Linked DNA regions of Drosophila melanogaster. The protein of the gene in region 1 interacts with the protein of each later gene in a pairwise test. Each region holds a gene or a part of one and is shown in the gene's direction. Other genes may lie near its edges.

Region 1 (2,663 bases):
TTCCTTCACATTGCTGCAGCCCGCCCTTTCAACGAACTTTAGCTTGCGTGTAAATCAATTTGACGCATTTTTTCTCCTCCGACTTGTCTGAAACCTAGTAGCTGCACTGAGATCGAGGAAGAGATGGAATGACCGGATCAAAACAATGAGTTCTATAAATAGAGAAGATTTCTGGGCTTGGCATTCACAATCCACAAATGGTTTTAAAATCCAGTATTCGTTAGGGAAAACTGATTCAACCCATTAATGTAATGCACAAATTCCGAATGTTTCATATATTGGTTGTTTTGTTTTTTAAAATAATGCATTTAATGAAATTTGAAAAGAGTACCAATAGCATAGCCTTTGCTTGGAATCGAATAGTGCATAAATAGACTGGATCACCAAAGATATTGTTTAATTAATTTGATTGAATTCAAAAAACTTTTTATCTTTGGCTGCAAAAGTTAGTTGAAACTTTTTGTAAAAGTGGTATGTGTAGTGCACAAGTTCCTTGGCCTGACTACCGCGTAAAAATCGAAATAAAAGTGACCGGATGTAAAAACTTGTTCTTTACTAGGTTATATTTACCCAGTCGTATGTGTTTTTATGAGAACAAATAGTTTTTAGTAACTATAAAATAATTTAAAAGATTTATTAATGTATTATGTAAATTAAATCCTGAATACTAAACATTTAGTAAAACTTAACATAAAAAATAAATATTATAATTCAAAGGGAAATCTTAAAATGGCTTAGAAAAAATCAATCTGGGTCCTTAAAACTGTGAGCCTGTTGTCAGTTGAGTTGAAATTTGGAAACCCGTAATGAGTCATCCTTAAATTTATTGTAATGCGCTTATACTTGACCTTTTTTGGAATATCAATAGTTTTTTTGGCGACCTTGCTTCAAATTCTTGCCATACACAGCACTGGGAATTGCACCTTCGCAAAGAATGTCACTCTAAAGTTCGTGTGCAAGGGAAATGTCCCCAAGGATATGTATACAATGTTTCGGGACAACCGAGCTCCTCCCGACACTCCCTACAGTGTTTGGCAGACCGAAGAGGACGACTCTGCTCTTCTGGTATCGTTTTACACCACGATGTTTCCAAACTATGATACCATCAATCTGCAGGAAGGCGAGATGGATCTTGGCCAATTCTTTCTAGCCACCAAGGGAAGAAATACCAACGATCTTTTGTTTGTGACACCGTCTACCCTCCACTGCTTCCCCTTCGGTCTGCGCTATACGAATGAGCTAAAAAGGCACTGTCTGGGCCAAGACATAAGTGAGGGAGGTGTCCTTACCAAGAAGCCCATTATTCACTACGGCTCGCTTAGCATAAAAACCCCCGACTTGCCGAAGAGTGATGCAACTTCGACAAGTGTGAAAAGAAACCTGCTTCTTGTCGTGTGTGCGGTGATCACTTACTAAAATGAAAGTTTTGTACCCGAAAAATCTAAATTTAATGTAAAAATGATATTGTTCAAAATTGAATGAATAAATTGTTGCGCTAGAAGAAGCGTCGCTTTCCAAATGTCAGCCATGATTTATTAGTCTACATTTCTACATGCCATACCCTATGGACATCAACCTACAAAGCCATGACATGGAAACTGTGGCTGCTCCCGATCGCATTTCTTCTGTCCTCTTCCGAGGCCTCCTTCGACTCCTGCTACTTCATGCTAGAAAACGAAATTCCATTTACGCTGGTTTGTAAGGCCGAATACAGCACCGACCTGAAGCTGAGCTACCGAGACATTTGGCTCAGTGCCGACGTACCCTACTGGCTTTGGTGGAGACGACTGCCCAGTGTGGAGCTGCTGATCTCCTTTTATGAGTCGCCCATATCGCCGTGTGAGAACGTTAGCCTGAGCCTCAACTGCCTTCATTGTGCTGACTCCGATGAGCTAGGCATACACATTCGACCGGAGAGCATCCACTGTTTTGACTTCTCCTTCTCCTACGTGCGGGACCTGATGAAGCACTGTGGACTGTCGCCGGCCACGAAGTTCGATCGCGTCGCCATTTTGTATGCGCGGCGGGTTCCCAATCGTGATATTCCGTCTGGGGCCGCCAGGACTCGGCCTTGGACCCTGGGACTCAGGCTTCTCTAAGAAAGTCGATGCTAAGCGGATGCTAAACGCAGGGCCGGGGGCAACTAGAGAATCTTCTGTCAAGCGGGGGAGAAGTGATCGGAACCGTTTTTATTCTCCTGGAAATTCCCATCAAATTTTTCGAAAATGATCAAAGAATCATTTGCCTATAAGCAATGCCAGTGCGCCTCTCAAGCGCACGAAGCCTGAATAACAAGTGGATCGACCGTTCGTCGCTCCGTCCTCCTCAGCATACAAAGCAACCCAAGCATCCTCGGCACGCCCTGCGCCCGGTCTGCAACCCACCGCCTTCGACTACGACTTTACCGCCGCCCAAGCTCAAACCACATCCGCCGTGCCCGCTGTTCCGGCCAGTGTCCTTCCTGCTGCTCCTGCTCATCCTCGGACCAGTGTCGGCAGCATGCGAGGACCAGAACTGCACCTTCCTCGAGGGCTACATCCTGCAGTACGTGTGTCACAGCAGCTACATAGAGGAGATTCGGCTGCAGCACAAGGACCGCATCCCGGCCATCGGGACCCCGTACGCCATCTGGAAGCGTCCCGACACCCACGACCCGTCCTACC
Region 2 (3,406 bases), on another chromosome or scaffold:
GCAAATAGCCGCCTCCTTTGGCCGCCCGTATCCGGAGGAAGTGCGTTTCCGGGTAATGGGCACCACGGACCAGCGCTCGGCAGAGATAGCCATCACCGAGTGCCAGCTGCCCATCACAACCGGAGACTATCTCAAGCGGTACTCGCAAATGTGCCACGAGCGATTCCACAACGTACCCCTGCTGGAAGGTTAGCACCACGACCAGAAAACTAATCGGCATTTCTCCCTATAAATACTTCTGCTTCAATTACTATCCTACTGTGATTAAAGCCGTTTGTTAATCGTGTGCTTCCTTCCCCGTTCAAGGTGCTGAGCGCCTGCTGCGTCACCTGCACGCCAACAAGGTACCCTTTTGCTTGGCCACCAGCTCCGGCGCCGACATGGTCGAGCTGAAGACGGCCCAACATCGGGAGCTGTTCTCCCTGTTTAACCACAAGGTGTGCGGTTCGTCGGACAAGGAGGTGGTCAACGGCAAGCCTGCGCCCGACATTTTCCTAGTGGCCGCCGGCAGATTCGGTGTGCCGCCCAAACCGTCCGACTGCCTGGTGTTCGAGGACTCGCCGAACGGCGTGACGGCTGCCAACAGCGCCGGAATGCAGGTGGTGATGGTGCCGGACCCACGACTGTCCCAGGAAAAGACCTCGCACGCCACACAAGTGCTGGCCTCGTTGGCGGACTTCAAGCCGGAGCAGTTCGGGCTGCCCGCCTTCACGGATTGAACTTAATGGCTGACGTACTTTTTGTAGCTAAAAGATGCTATTGCTGTAATTGGAAATCGATGTACCTACCAAGAAAATGAATTTAAGTGTAAATGTTATCCCATATACACGTATACGTATGTGTGCATAAAGCATCTGGCTTTGCCTTTATTTTGCGCCTAATCTACATAGTTTTCCAGCGTAAGTTCTATTTGCCAACCGCTTCCAGGTTTTTGTGTATGTCAGGAGCAGCGTGGTTGGCCAGGGAGAGGGACACTTCCTTGCCGTTGCCTGCGGACATGGGAATCGATGTGGGGGAAGCTAGCAGCGCACATTATGCTAATCTACTCACCATAGCGGGCGTAGAGGCGGGGCTGGACGCCAGAGCACTCGCGCACGAGGATCGGCAGGTCGGGATTGCTCTTCTTCAGGTTTGGATAGAACCTTTCCACGTATTCCCTGTAAAGGAACGCTGCTTTAGCAAATTATATAATTTAAAAGCGGAAAATGACAATTTCACCTGACTCCCTTGGAAGTGTCTCCTTTGGGATCCAGAATGATTCGCAGCTCCTTCAGTTTTGGAGTAAAACTGGCCAATCGGAACAGAGTAATACCCATTTTGGCACCACTTTTGCGATTTTGAAATGTTCAGGAAGTAAGTCTATTTAAATGTCGGTACTACGCAGGGTTGTCAAACTGTCTTGGATTACATATTGGTATTATTGTTTTTTAAAAACAAATTACTTTTTGGCTCAAACTAAAATAACGTCTAACTCACCAGAGACGCGAACCATTAGTTGCATCGTTTGAATATCCATTCCAAAGACAAGAACCAAGGCAATTGTCTTGGCTGACACCAGGTCAGCATTTGATTGGCCCACATCGATAAATACCGATAAATGCTTGACGGCCAGTCACTCATTTGTTTTGGTAAACATCATTTGTCTCTGGAAAATATTCAATTGAACACGTATTTGAACAATTATGGCGTCCGTGCATTGTCAACTGTGGATGGGAAGCGTAAGTAGCAACGTGCATTACCCCAGACACATGACCCTTTAAGCCCGCATGGCCATTTCAGCTGGAGTCCTACATGACGGAGAACTTCATAATCGCCGCTTTCCGGAAGATGGGCGAAGATCCCACCACGGTGCGCCTGATGCGCAACAAGTACACGGGCGAACCGGCCGGCTACTGCTTCGTCAACTTCATATCCGATGACCATGCGCTGGACGCGATGCACAAGCTAAACGGTAAGCCCATTCCGGGCACCAATCCCATTGTGCGATTCCGTCTTAACTCGGCCAGCAACTCGTACAAGCTGCCCGGGAATGAACGCGAATTTAGCGTCTGGGTGGGCGACCTCAGCTCGGACGTGGACGACTATCAGCTGTACAAGGTGTTCTCCAGCAAGTTCACATCGATCAAAACCGCCAAGGTGATCTTGGACAGCCTGGGGTTTTCCAAGGGTTACGGCTTTGTGCGATTTGGCATCGAGGATGAGCAGAAATCAGCGCTGTACGACATGAACGGGTACATCGGATTGGGTACCAAGCCCATAAAGATTTGCAATGCCGTGCCCAAACCCAAATCCGAGTTGGGTGGTGCTGTGGGCGAAGGCAACACAAACTATGGATATGGAAGCGGTATGACTGCAGCAGGTGGCACCGACTACTCGCAGTACTACGACCCCACCAGCACCTATTGGCAGGGATACCAGGCCTGGCAAGGTTACTACGAGCAGGCCGGTGCTTCGATCACAGATGCGGCTGCATACTACCAGCAGGCCATGTCGCAGTCGCACTCTAATCCGCAGACTCTGGCCCAGCACGCCGAGGCCTGGAGCGCACAACGCAGCGCCCAGTACGAGCAGCAGCAGCAGCAGCAGACCGCTTCCGCCGCCAATGGAGCTGAGGATGAGAACGGACTGGTGGAGCACAAGTTCGTCCTGGATGTGGACAAACTGAACCGAGAGGCCATTGATGCCGACCGCCGTCTGTACGATGCTCTGGAGAGCTCTAAGTGGCTGCCCATTGAGCAGCTGGAAGTCTTTTAGGATACTTATCTACTATATTTATAGCTTACTATAATTACAGCTTAGATATAAGCAAAAAATATAAAAGCCTGACTTGTAGCGTATTATTGTTTTTGAGCCTGCTATAAACTTTTATGCTCCTGAATCTACATTTCTTAACAAAGGATTCAAAATAAAGGATACATTTTTACAAAATATCCCTAATATCCTTACAACAGATGTATTTTATCGATATACAGACGGAATACTATTCTGTCCGTGTCATCGCCATGTCGGCCTATCGACTGTCGATAGTTTCTGCCTTGGCCCGAGACTTTCGGAGATTGTGCAGACAATTGCGGACTAAATAAGCGTTGAATCATGAAGCGAGCGCGGCAGCCGAAGATTACTACGCAGGCCCTGCTCGATTTTGACTTGGGCGAGAGTTCCTCGGATAGCGACTTCCTGCCGGACATCGACAACTGCTCGGACGGATCGAAGGACGAGAGCGATGGCGACGGTAGCAGCAGCGACGCCAGTGGTGGCTCCGATTCTGAATCGGATTCGGATGCGGAGAGCGAGGATTCAACACTGCAGCTCCGGCAGCTGTTGGCGGAAACGGAACCGTCACCACTGGAGAACGGGATCAATGGAGTGGACCACTGCGCAGCTTCCTCCCCGGCAGCACCAGTAG
Region 3 (3,671 bases), on another chromosome or scaffold:
GCCGATTAGGTAGAACATGCTGGGCGACTGGTGCGACTGCTCGGCCACTGCAACTCCTGCCAAATGTTATTAAAATCGCTTTTTAAATGCAGTCAACACGTGCCGTCGCGCGTTGTGTGACCGCCGCCAGAGCGCCAAGAAATACTCACATTGCGACAATGGGCTAAAAAAGCCTGTGCAGCAATGGCGCGTATTTTGAATTTGAAGGCCATTTCATTTAATTGGGAAATAAACACTAAAAACTTTGGTCCACTACTTAAGAAATGATATATTTGGTTTGCTTTTTTGATCTCAGCTGTATGATACCTATGTTACTCTTAGACTGTAATAATAAGTAAACTACTTAACATAACTACACTCCAGCAATTATTGGAACTCTGAATTTGTTTGCTCGGAAATCTTGAAGCTGCAAAGTTGGGGTCTGTGGATGAAAAATATCATTTAATTAACGTACTTACGTACTTACAACAATATTACGCCATTTCAACTTACGTTGTTGAGGCGCCCCGAACCACGCAATAAGCTATGAATCGTTCAATCTGCAAAGCAATCTTTATCTTTACCGATTCCCTTATTATAAATGCATAGGCACTCACCATCATTTCAAAGTCGCCATAGGCGGCGGAGTGATCCATGCGCACCTGCAGGAAGTACTTGTGTATCTCGGCACCCAGATTGTCCTTCCAATCAGGACACTCCTCGCGTATACGTCTGCAATTGATGATCATGCTGAAAGTGCGGATGAGCATAAACAAATCTGCCTGGCGTCCACTGTTTGCCAACTGGCGCCAGTTGACCGTTTTGGCCATTTCAAAAGCCTTGAGAGCCTGCATATATATGGGTTTAGATTTTAAAGTGCTGATGGAATCAGTTTTAGGTTCATACATATTCCTTCTGGTCCAGTTCAACTGGTTCTCCCGTGTACCGTCCCATTATGGTGAGTAGCAGGGCCATAGCTACATCGTTGCCAAGATGGCAGGATTCTACCATGGCGGGAATCGCGGCCTGCAGGTCCAGCACTCTTTCCAGGCGCTCCATACCCACGCCAGTGATAAGGTTTTCGTACAACCCACTGGCCATGTAGAACATCTAAAGGGAATAAGATGTAATTGATCGGAAATGTTAGGATAGCAGAAAGGGGAACTACCTCCTCCGAGTCCAGGGACTCTGCCAGGTGACACACCACATCCACCATCATGTAGCGCTCCTTCATCAGCAGAACGTTGTCCCTTTGGTACGTCATCATCATAATGGAGAGGGTAAACAGATCGAGCAGCTGCTGCAAATTGAGTTCCAGCTTCCCGGCTAAGGTAGCCATCATGCGATTCAGCAACTAAGTTAATATAAACAAATTAGTAATAGTTATTAGGAAATAAACAGAATAATAACCTGTTTGCCGTCTGTGGTTTCTGCAGCGTAAGGAAACAAATGCTTGATGGACGACTTCCGGAGAAAGGACATGATGGATTCGTGGTCATAGCCTAGGCGCATTTCATCCACTTCCACGAGGGAATTATTCAACGATGAATCAGATAGATTCATTTTGTATTGGCGGTAAAAAATGCGCAAAGCAAATAAATAGAAATAATAAACTGAAAGAGTGACCAGGCACCAAGGGGTGGGTCAAATAGCCTAACGCCTAGTTAAGCGCTGTATCGCATGAACGTAAACGGTCATACCATTATTGTTGCTCCACGTGCGGCGATTTTTATTCATTTACTACTTTAATAATCAATTTTAGTGAATTGACACTAATTAAAATGCCGCCTGTTAAGAAGCCCAAGGCGCAGAAGATCGAGAAGCAAAGCACGCCCAAAAAGCCCATCGATGCAGCCAAGAATGTGGTTTCCGGACAGGTGAGCGGCTACCAAAAACAAATGCTCCTCCGTTGGGTTGGATAACCGTAAACTGCGTCCATTTTAGCTAAAGAAAAAGGTGACCAAGGCCAGGCCGCAGAAGCCAAAGGGTCCAGAACGCGGCGTGGTCATTGTGAAGCACCTGCCTCACGGATTCTTCGAGCAGCAGCTGCGCCAGTACTTCCGACAGTTCGGTCGGGTGCTGCGCGTCCGTTTGGCCCGTTCGCTGCGCACCGGTAACAGCAAGGGCTACGCCTTCGTGGAGTTCGAGTACCCGGAGGTGGCCAAGGTGGCTGCCGACACCATGGACAACTACCTGATGTTCCAGAAGGTGGTGAAGGCCACCTACATTCCACCAGAGAAGCAGACACTCAACTTCTTCAGGACTTCCTTGAAGAAGGTTGTCAATAAGGTGCGTTCAAAGGGAAATACATCTAATGTCCGTTTGTTATTCATAGTTGTACTTCACTTGCAGGCCGGCAAGGAAATCTATGTCTCGGATTTAACCAAAGCCACACAGCGCAGCGTGAAAAAGCAGAATAACTGGGATGAGTCCGCCTGCCAGAAGCGCACCGTGGCCAATCTCAACAAGATCAAGAAGCTGCAGGAGAAGTACAAGGATCTGGGCATCGACTTCTCCAACTTACTGGTGGAACCAGTAAAGAAAGCAGCAGGCTCCGCTGAGGCATCTACAAGCCAGGCAGCCGCCAAGAAAGCCGGTAAGAAACAAAAAACGGCCGCGAAGAAAGAACCAACGCTGGAGGATTTGCTGGGCAACACCATCAACGAGGACTCCGATGATGAGGACTACGTTGATGCATCCGATGATGAGTCCGATCTGGAGGCTGAGGAGGAGCAAGCGGACAGTGAGCAGACCAGCGATGACAGCGACGAAGAGGAGGATTTATCACCGCCGCCCAAGCAGAAAAAGACTAAGCTGGCTGATAAACTGAAACGCAAGCCCGGCACTGGTGGTGTGCAGAAGAAGAAAATAGCTCCGCCGGCTAAGAGCAACAAGAATGCCGCCACCCAGAAGTTGCAGCTGGCCGCAGCCAAGTCGCTGGCCAAACCCTTGCCCAAGGGAAAGGCCAAGAAATCCAAGTAGTAGCTTAAAATACATTTACTATAGTTGTTAAGTAAGCGAAAACATTTTGTAAGATGAATTGTGTTAAAATATGTCCTTGTACAAACTAAAATGGCGTTTTGGCCGAGCTGCCTTGCTGCTCCTCCAGTTTGATGCGCTTGCACTTCATGCGTCGATTTTGGAACCACACCTTCACCTGGCGTTCGGTCAGCTCCAGCGCCACTGCGATTTCGTAGCGACGCAAGCGAGTCAAATAGTTGGAATAGCAGAACTCCGCTTCCAGCTGCTTGAGCTGCGTTTTTGAAAATGCTGTGCGTTCCTTGCGATTCGAGCTGATTGCCCGGAGTTTGGACCTTTGGCTTGGAAGTTCTTGACCAGTAGGTGCCTCATTTTGTAACCATTGATCGTTCGCTTCGTTGCACCAATTAGTTTCTAGTTTATTGTAATCCGCGTAGGAAGAAGACGCACTGTGGTCATATACATAGCTGCAGTCCGTATAGCCCTCCGTTTGGTTCAGCCACGATTTCGTAATATCCTCGTAGCAATAGGATTCTTGGTAGACGTTCGCGTGGGAGTTCTTCATTGCCGATGTCTTTGCTTCTAGGTCTAAACTATTACTGAAATCTCAGATTCGGCGGAGCTGCTTTTTAAACAAGGCGCAGAGTGTGCCAGGCCAATCTGCTTTTTCACTTAGTCGCAAATGATGTGCTGCTGATATGATAATTGTGCGC
Region 4 (4,790 bases), on another chromosome or scaffold:
ACAAGAGAATGCCAACGGAAACCGAATGGCCTGGGTTCAGTCCAAACCAGAAAGGGAAAACTAATTGCAGTGCTCATTTTTTCCTTGTTAATGGGCCTGCAAACGAGCTTCGAGTTTCCCTCCTTCTATCGATCCTTGCACACACACACACACACAGATACATCCCTGTATCCACACATGCGTTTTCGCTTGTGCCATCGGAAAAAGTTTTTCCCCCCAATTTTATTTGCCTCATTTCGCTGCCATTGTTGCTGGTCGTTGAAAATCTGCGTGCGCAAGTAACAACATTTTACAGCTGCAATTAAAGTTAGTTAGCCCACCGCCTTCAGCCCTTCGTTTTTCCCGCATTTCCCACGGCTTTGCCGACAACAAGCTAATGCACTGCACTTTAATTAACCCAACACCAGGAGACCGAACCCAGAAATTATACATCCCATACGCTTTCCACCCAACTAATGGCAATTTATGTGCGATAATTTGTGGTATGGAAACCATAAAAACAAGTGCGACGACTCGAATAACAATCAACTAAATAACGAAACACTCTAAAGCAGAAAAATGTACTTTTTTTATGGACTTAATTTTATTGTATTAAATTTAATTGTTTGCCAAAAGCACGCGAAAGCTGCTCGCTTAAAACAGTTGGACCATGAAACTGCCGTTTTGTTTGCTGTTTATATGCCAAGTCTTAGCTAGAAGCTATAAGTTTAAATAGTTAAATATTAGTTTAATATTTCATAATGTGAACGATACTTTCAGGTCCTTTCATATTTTCCCACATTTAATGCAAACAAGTTATGTTTAAAACGGCATTCGTGTGCATTAGAGTCAATTACCGTGGATTGCAATGCCCACGCAGTGAAGCTAAAGCCAGAGGCAATCAGCATTATCAAAGGCTTTTAATTGTCATAAATCTGCGAAAGTTGTTAAAAACCCATTTAAAATTGTCACCGTAATAGCACACTCAAGCGGCTCAGTGGCATTTAACCAACTATCTGCCACATCCCATCGCATTCCATCCCTTTCCCTCCTCCGCCAACTGATGCGTTTTATTTTCTTGGCTCGATGGCTTGGTTGCTCCATCTTTTTGCCAAGTTCAGTTGCAGCCTGCCAGAGATGTTAATTAGAAAACTCTTGAAAATTATTAAAAACTTTCCAAAGCTGTCAGACAGGCGAGAGCTGAAGAGATAGTAGTGGTAAAATAGAACTTCAAATAGTTGCCAGCTCGGTGGAAAATGTTTTTAAGAAAATTTTCTAGCTCCTTTTTGATGGCTTCTCAAAGTATATTTCACTTGAGAAATTACTTTTAAAATGAAGGCGGCAGAGTTTAATATTGTTTGTGAGCTGGCATAAATCCGTACTTTAATTTAATTAAATATAATCAAAGATCTCTGCTGCCTTTCCAGATTAACTCAGCCGGCTTCCGTGTTTCAAATTTCACAACTTGACTCAATTTGCGTTGTCTGAATTACATTACAGCATGTTGACATCTCTCCTATGCCTCAACCCTTTACAAACTGGCTTATCGTCCAGCTCGAATAATATATAGAACTTCTCTCTAATGGATCTGTATACAAATTGCCTCTGTTTCTGAACTTGATTCGGATTCAGTCTACGGCATCTGCATGCCACTTAGCACCTTTTATTAGTGCCAATTAAGACTGATTTCACGATGCGTTCACGACGAGATTACAGACCCCAGACTGCCCCAAACTAGATAATCAACCGCAGAGAATTTGTGGCGCGCGATTCTGACACTGAATCCGAGCATCCAAGTTTTCAGGTACATATCTCGATTGCGGTTAGTTAAACGCGGCATCGCAAAGTGAACAGTTCTCGTCATGACGCAGCTAGAGATTTCCAAGAAGTCGGAAAAACCAGCGGAAAAACCGGCGGAGCAATGGGGAAATGGACTCGAATTTCTTTTCTCCTGCATTTCATTATCCGTGGGATTGGGGAATATCTGGCGTTTTCCCTACATTGCCTTCCAGAATGGCGGCGGTACCTTTGTGATACCGTACCTGATTGCCCTCCTGGTAATTGGACGGCCTGTCTACTATCTGGAGATATCCCTGGGCCAGTTCACGGGTCGCGGCGTGGTCAAGGCCTTCGATATGGCTCCCCTGCTCAAGGGCGTGGCATTGGGTCAAGTCCTGGCCACAGCCGCCTCCATCACATACTACTCCAGCATTATGGCTTTGACTCTACGATTCTGGCTGGCCTCCTTCGGCTCCGAGCTGCCATGGAGCAGGTGCTGGGAGAGCTGGGGCACCGATTGCCACGACGGCAATGCTCAAAATAGCAGTGGAAAAATGTCACCGGCACAGCTGTACTTTGAGCAAGTACCTCCACTTTTAAATCATTCAAGTAGTTGTTGACAGCATTTTATTAAACTAATTAAGACAAGCAGAGGATTTTTAGAGAACATTTTCTTGGCAGACATATTATACATTAATGCCATCACAAATTCATATAGACTAGGCTTTATTTTCTAAATTGTTATAAATGATTTTATGCTTGTGCTCTACCTTTCCAGACGTGAGATCCTTCATGAGGTGCCCAACATAGACAACGGACTGAGTCTGCCCAACTGGCAACTGGTGGCCTGTTTGGCGATTGCTTGGCTGGTCATCGGAGGAGTCCTCATTCGCGGCATTAAGAGCAGTGGCAAGGCGGCCTATTTCCTGGGCGTATTTCCCTATGTGGTGCTGCTCATCCTGCTCTTGAGAGCCGTTACCCTGCCAGGAGCCATCGATGGCATTATATACTTCTTCAAGCCACAGTGGCGAGAGCTGCTGAATCCACTCGTTTGGTATGCAGCCGTAACACAGGTCTTCTTTTCCCTGGCCATCTGTTTCGGCACTTTGATCACCTATGCCAGCTACAACAACTTCAACCGCAACGTATACAAGTGAGTTTATTGGCTTAAGATAAGATACGGAATGAAAGCTTAGAATGCATATTACTTTAACAATTTCATTACGAAATCTAAAGCTAAGCCAAGAGATTTATTCGAGCAATAAGATTACTAACCGCCACACCCCACAGTGACATTGTGATAATCACCACCATGGACTCCTGTTCATCCATAATTGCTGGCTGCATTACCTTTGGAATTCTGGGCAATCTGGCACGCGAGACTGGCAACCCGGATATTGGCAGTGTGGTGAAGGGCGGCGCGGGATTGGCCTTCATCTCGTATCCGGAGGCCATTGCCAAGTTCGAGTATGTGCCACAGGTAAGGTATCGAGAAGAGCCAGCGCCATGGGCGCCCTAAAGCACAACTACCTAAAGATGTTCGCGGTCCTTTTCTTCCTCATGCTATTCGTCTTAGGCATTGGCAGCACCGTGGGCATGGGATCATGCATCCTGCGCGTCATTCGGGATCAATTCGGATTACGCTCCCCGCCCATTTGGAAACTGGCCAGCGGCCTGACTGTTTTAGGCTTCTCGGTGAGCATCGTTTACATGACCCCGGGCGGTCAGTTTATCTTGAATCTAGTGGATTTCTACGGTGTCTCCTTCACCGCTTTGATCCTGGCCATTGGCGAATTGGTGGCTGTTGCATGGATTTACGGTGGGTTTATATATCCAACGTGGGATAAGCTATTGTTCAAAGTCCTTTTTGTTTCACTTTTTTAGGAGTTAATCGCTTTTGCGAGGACATCAAGTTTATGATGGGCATTGAAACCGGTTGGTACTGGCGCCTCTGCTGGCGTTTCATTACACCTGGTTTGATGACCGCCGTGCTCATCTACATGCTGCTCGATATGTCCGCTCTGGAGTACAAAGGTGTTGGCTATCCCACCTTGGCACACGGTAAGGCCACGTCTTCCTGCACTTCAATTTTATTGAAGGGTTTATATTGTATCCGTGTTCTCTTCTCTCCCCACTAACAGTTTTTGGCTGTTTTTTGGCCACCTTGGGGCTGATTCAACTACCCGGCTGGGCCATCTATGCCATCTATAAAAAGCGTGGCCATAACGGCAGCTTCTGGCAGGTATGTACACCCCCCCCCACCCCTCCTTTCCAGGGGCTTTATATCCATTTCCCGTCTTTTAGAGAATACGTGCCGCTTGCAAGCCGTCGGACACTTGGGGACCGGCCAACGTTCAGCTGGATGCCACCATATAGAAAATTAGCTCGGTACCCAACACTGCGTATACGTAATGGCTCCAGTAGTCAGGGGCATTATTATTTGATATGGTCTAGATGAAAATGGGTAGAATAAAGTGAAATATATGGGGCTCGTGGAGCCAAAAACAAAAGCGGGCTTATTCTGGCGGAACAATTTAACTGCCCGAAGGAGTTGAGCTGGCGAATGGAGGAAGTCGAGGAGGAGGAGCTGCTGCAAGCACTTTTAATTACCCCAGGGCAGAGCTCCAGTTGGGCGTGGCAGCTGCACTCCTTCTCAGTTGTGTTTGTGTTAGTCCGCTTGGCATGTCAGTCATGTCAGCAATGCGGAAATGCGCAAATACTAAATGAAAACAAGTAGCAGATGTTACTTTTCCTTACGACGAATCTTATAATACTCTTTCATATGAAAATGATTTCTTTAAAAAATTGCACAAGTTCCCATTTGGATGATTTATATATATTTTTAAAGAAATACTTAAGAATACGAATATTTAATATTCATTTATTGTACAAATTAAAATTTTACAATCAGATGTAAAAAACGAAATGTTATTCGGAAAGTTCTACGTTTTCCATTAAATTGGCCACAAATTGCAATATCCTTTTGTAAGGATACAAAGTGCTGCAGCGCAGACAAGCGGGATGACTTGGAA

Evidence for each region.
Region 2: the proteins of CG43330 (region 1) and Secp43 interact in a two-hybrid assay, tested with the Drosophila melanogaster proteins (one large-scale study listed by BioGRID).
Region 3: the proteins of CG43330 (region 1) and CG6937 interact in a two-hybrid assay, tested with the Drosophila melanogaster proteins (one large-scale study listed by BioGRID).
Region 4: the proteins of CG43330 (region 1) and List interact in a two-hybrid assay, tested with the Drosophila melanogaster proteins (one large-scale study listed by BioGRID).

What each region holds. Positions count from the first base shown.
Region 1 is NT_037436.4:22,503,347-22,506,009, reverse strand, and holds CG43330 (uncharacterized protein), read left to right. Parts: upstream 1-1,586; coding exon 1,587-2,099; 3' UTR 2,100-2,141; downstream 2,142-2,663. Other genes in the region: CG43329 (uncharacterized protein), read left to right, coding at 832-1,416; CG43331 (uncharacterized protein), read left to right, coding at 2,255-2,663.
Region 2 is NT_033779.5:4,452,639-4,456,044, reverse strand, and holds Secp43 (tRNA selenocysteine associated protein), read left to right. Parts: upstream 1-1,591; 5' UTR 1,592-1,682; coding exon 1,683-1,718; intron 1,719-1,779; coding exon 1,780-2,754; 3' UTR 2,755-2,876; downstream 2,877-3,406. Other genes in the region: Gs1l (GS1-like), read left to right, coding at 307-719; ND-B8 (NADH dehydrogenase (ubiquinone) B8 subunit), read right to left, coding at 907-989, 1,051-1,157, 1,219-1,316; CG15439 (uncharacterized protein), read left to right, coding at 3,094-3,406.
Region 3 is NT_033777.3:22,583,103-22,586,773, forward strand, and holds CG6937 (uncharacterized protein), read left to right. Parts: upstream 1-1,670; 5' UTR 1,671-1,760; coding exon 1,761-1,856; intron 1,857-1,923; coding exon 1,924-2,268; intron 2,269-2,331; coding exon 2,332-2,961; 3' UTR 2,962-3,046; downstream 3,047-3,671. Other genes in the region: Dph5 (diphthamide methyltransferase), read right to left, coding at 1-18; CG33107 (uncharacterized protein), read right to left, coding at 367-421, 493-539, 597-827, 886-1,089, 1,148-1,333, 1,390-1,542; btn (buttonless), read right to left, coding at 3,047-3,523.
Region 4 is NT_033778.4:18,727,291-18,732,080, reverse strand, and holds List (Lithium-inducible SLC6 transporter), read left to right. Parts: upstream 1-1,799; 5' UTR 1,800-1,841; coding exon 1,842-2,338; intron 2,339-2,536; coding exon 2,537-2,911; intron 2,912-3,048; coding exon 3,049-3,238; intron 3,239-3,294; coding exon 3,295-3,577; intron 3,578-3,642; coding exon 3,643-3,819; intron 3,820-3,899; coding exon 3,900-4,000; intron 4,001-4,062; coding exon 4,063-4,134; 3' UTR 4,135-4,264; downstream 4,265-4,790.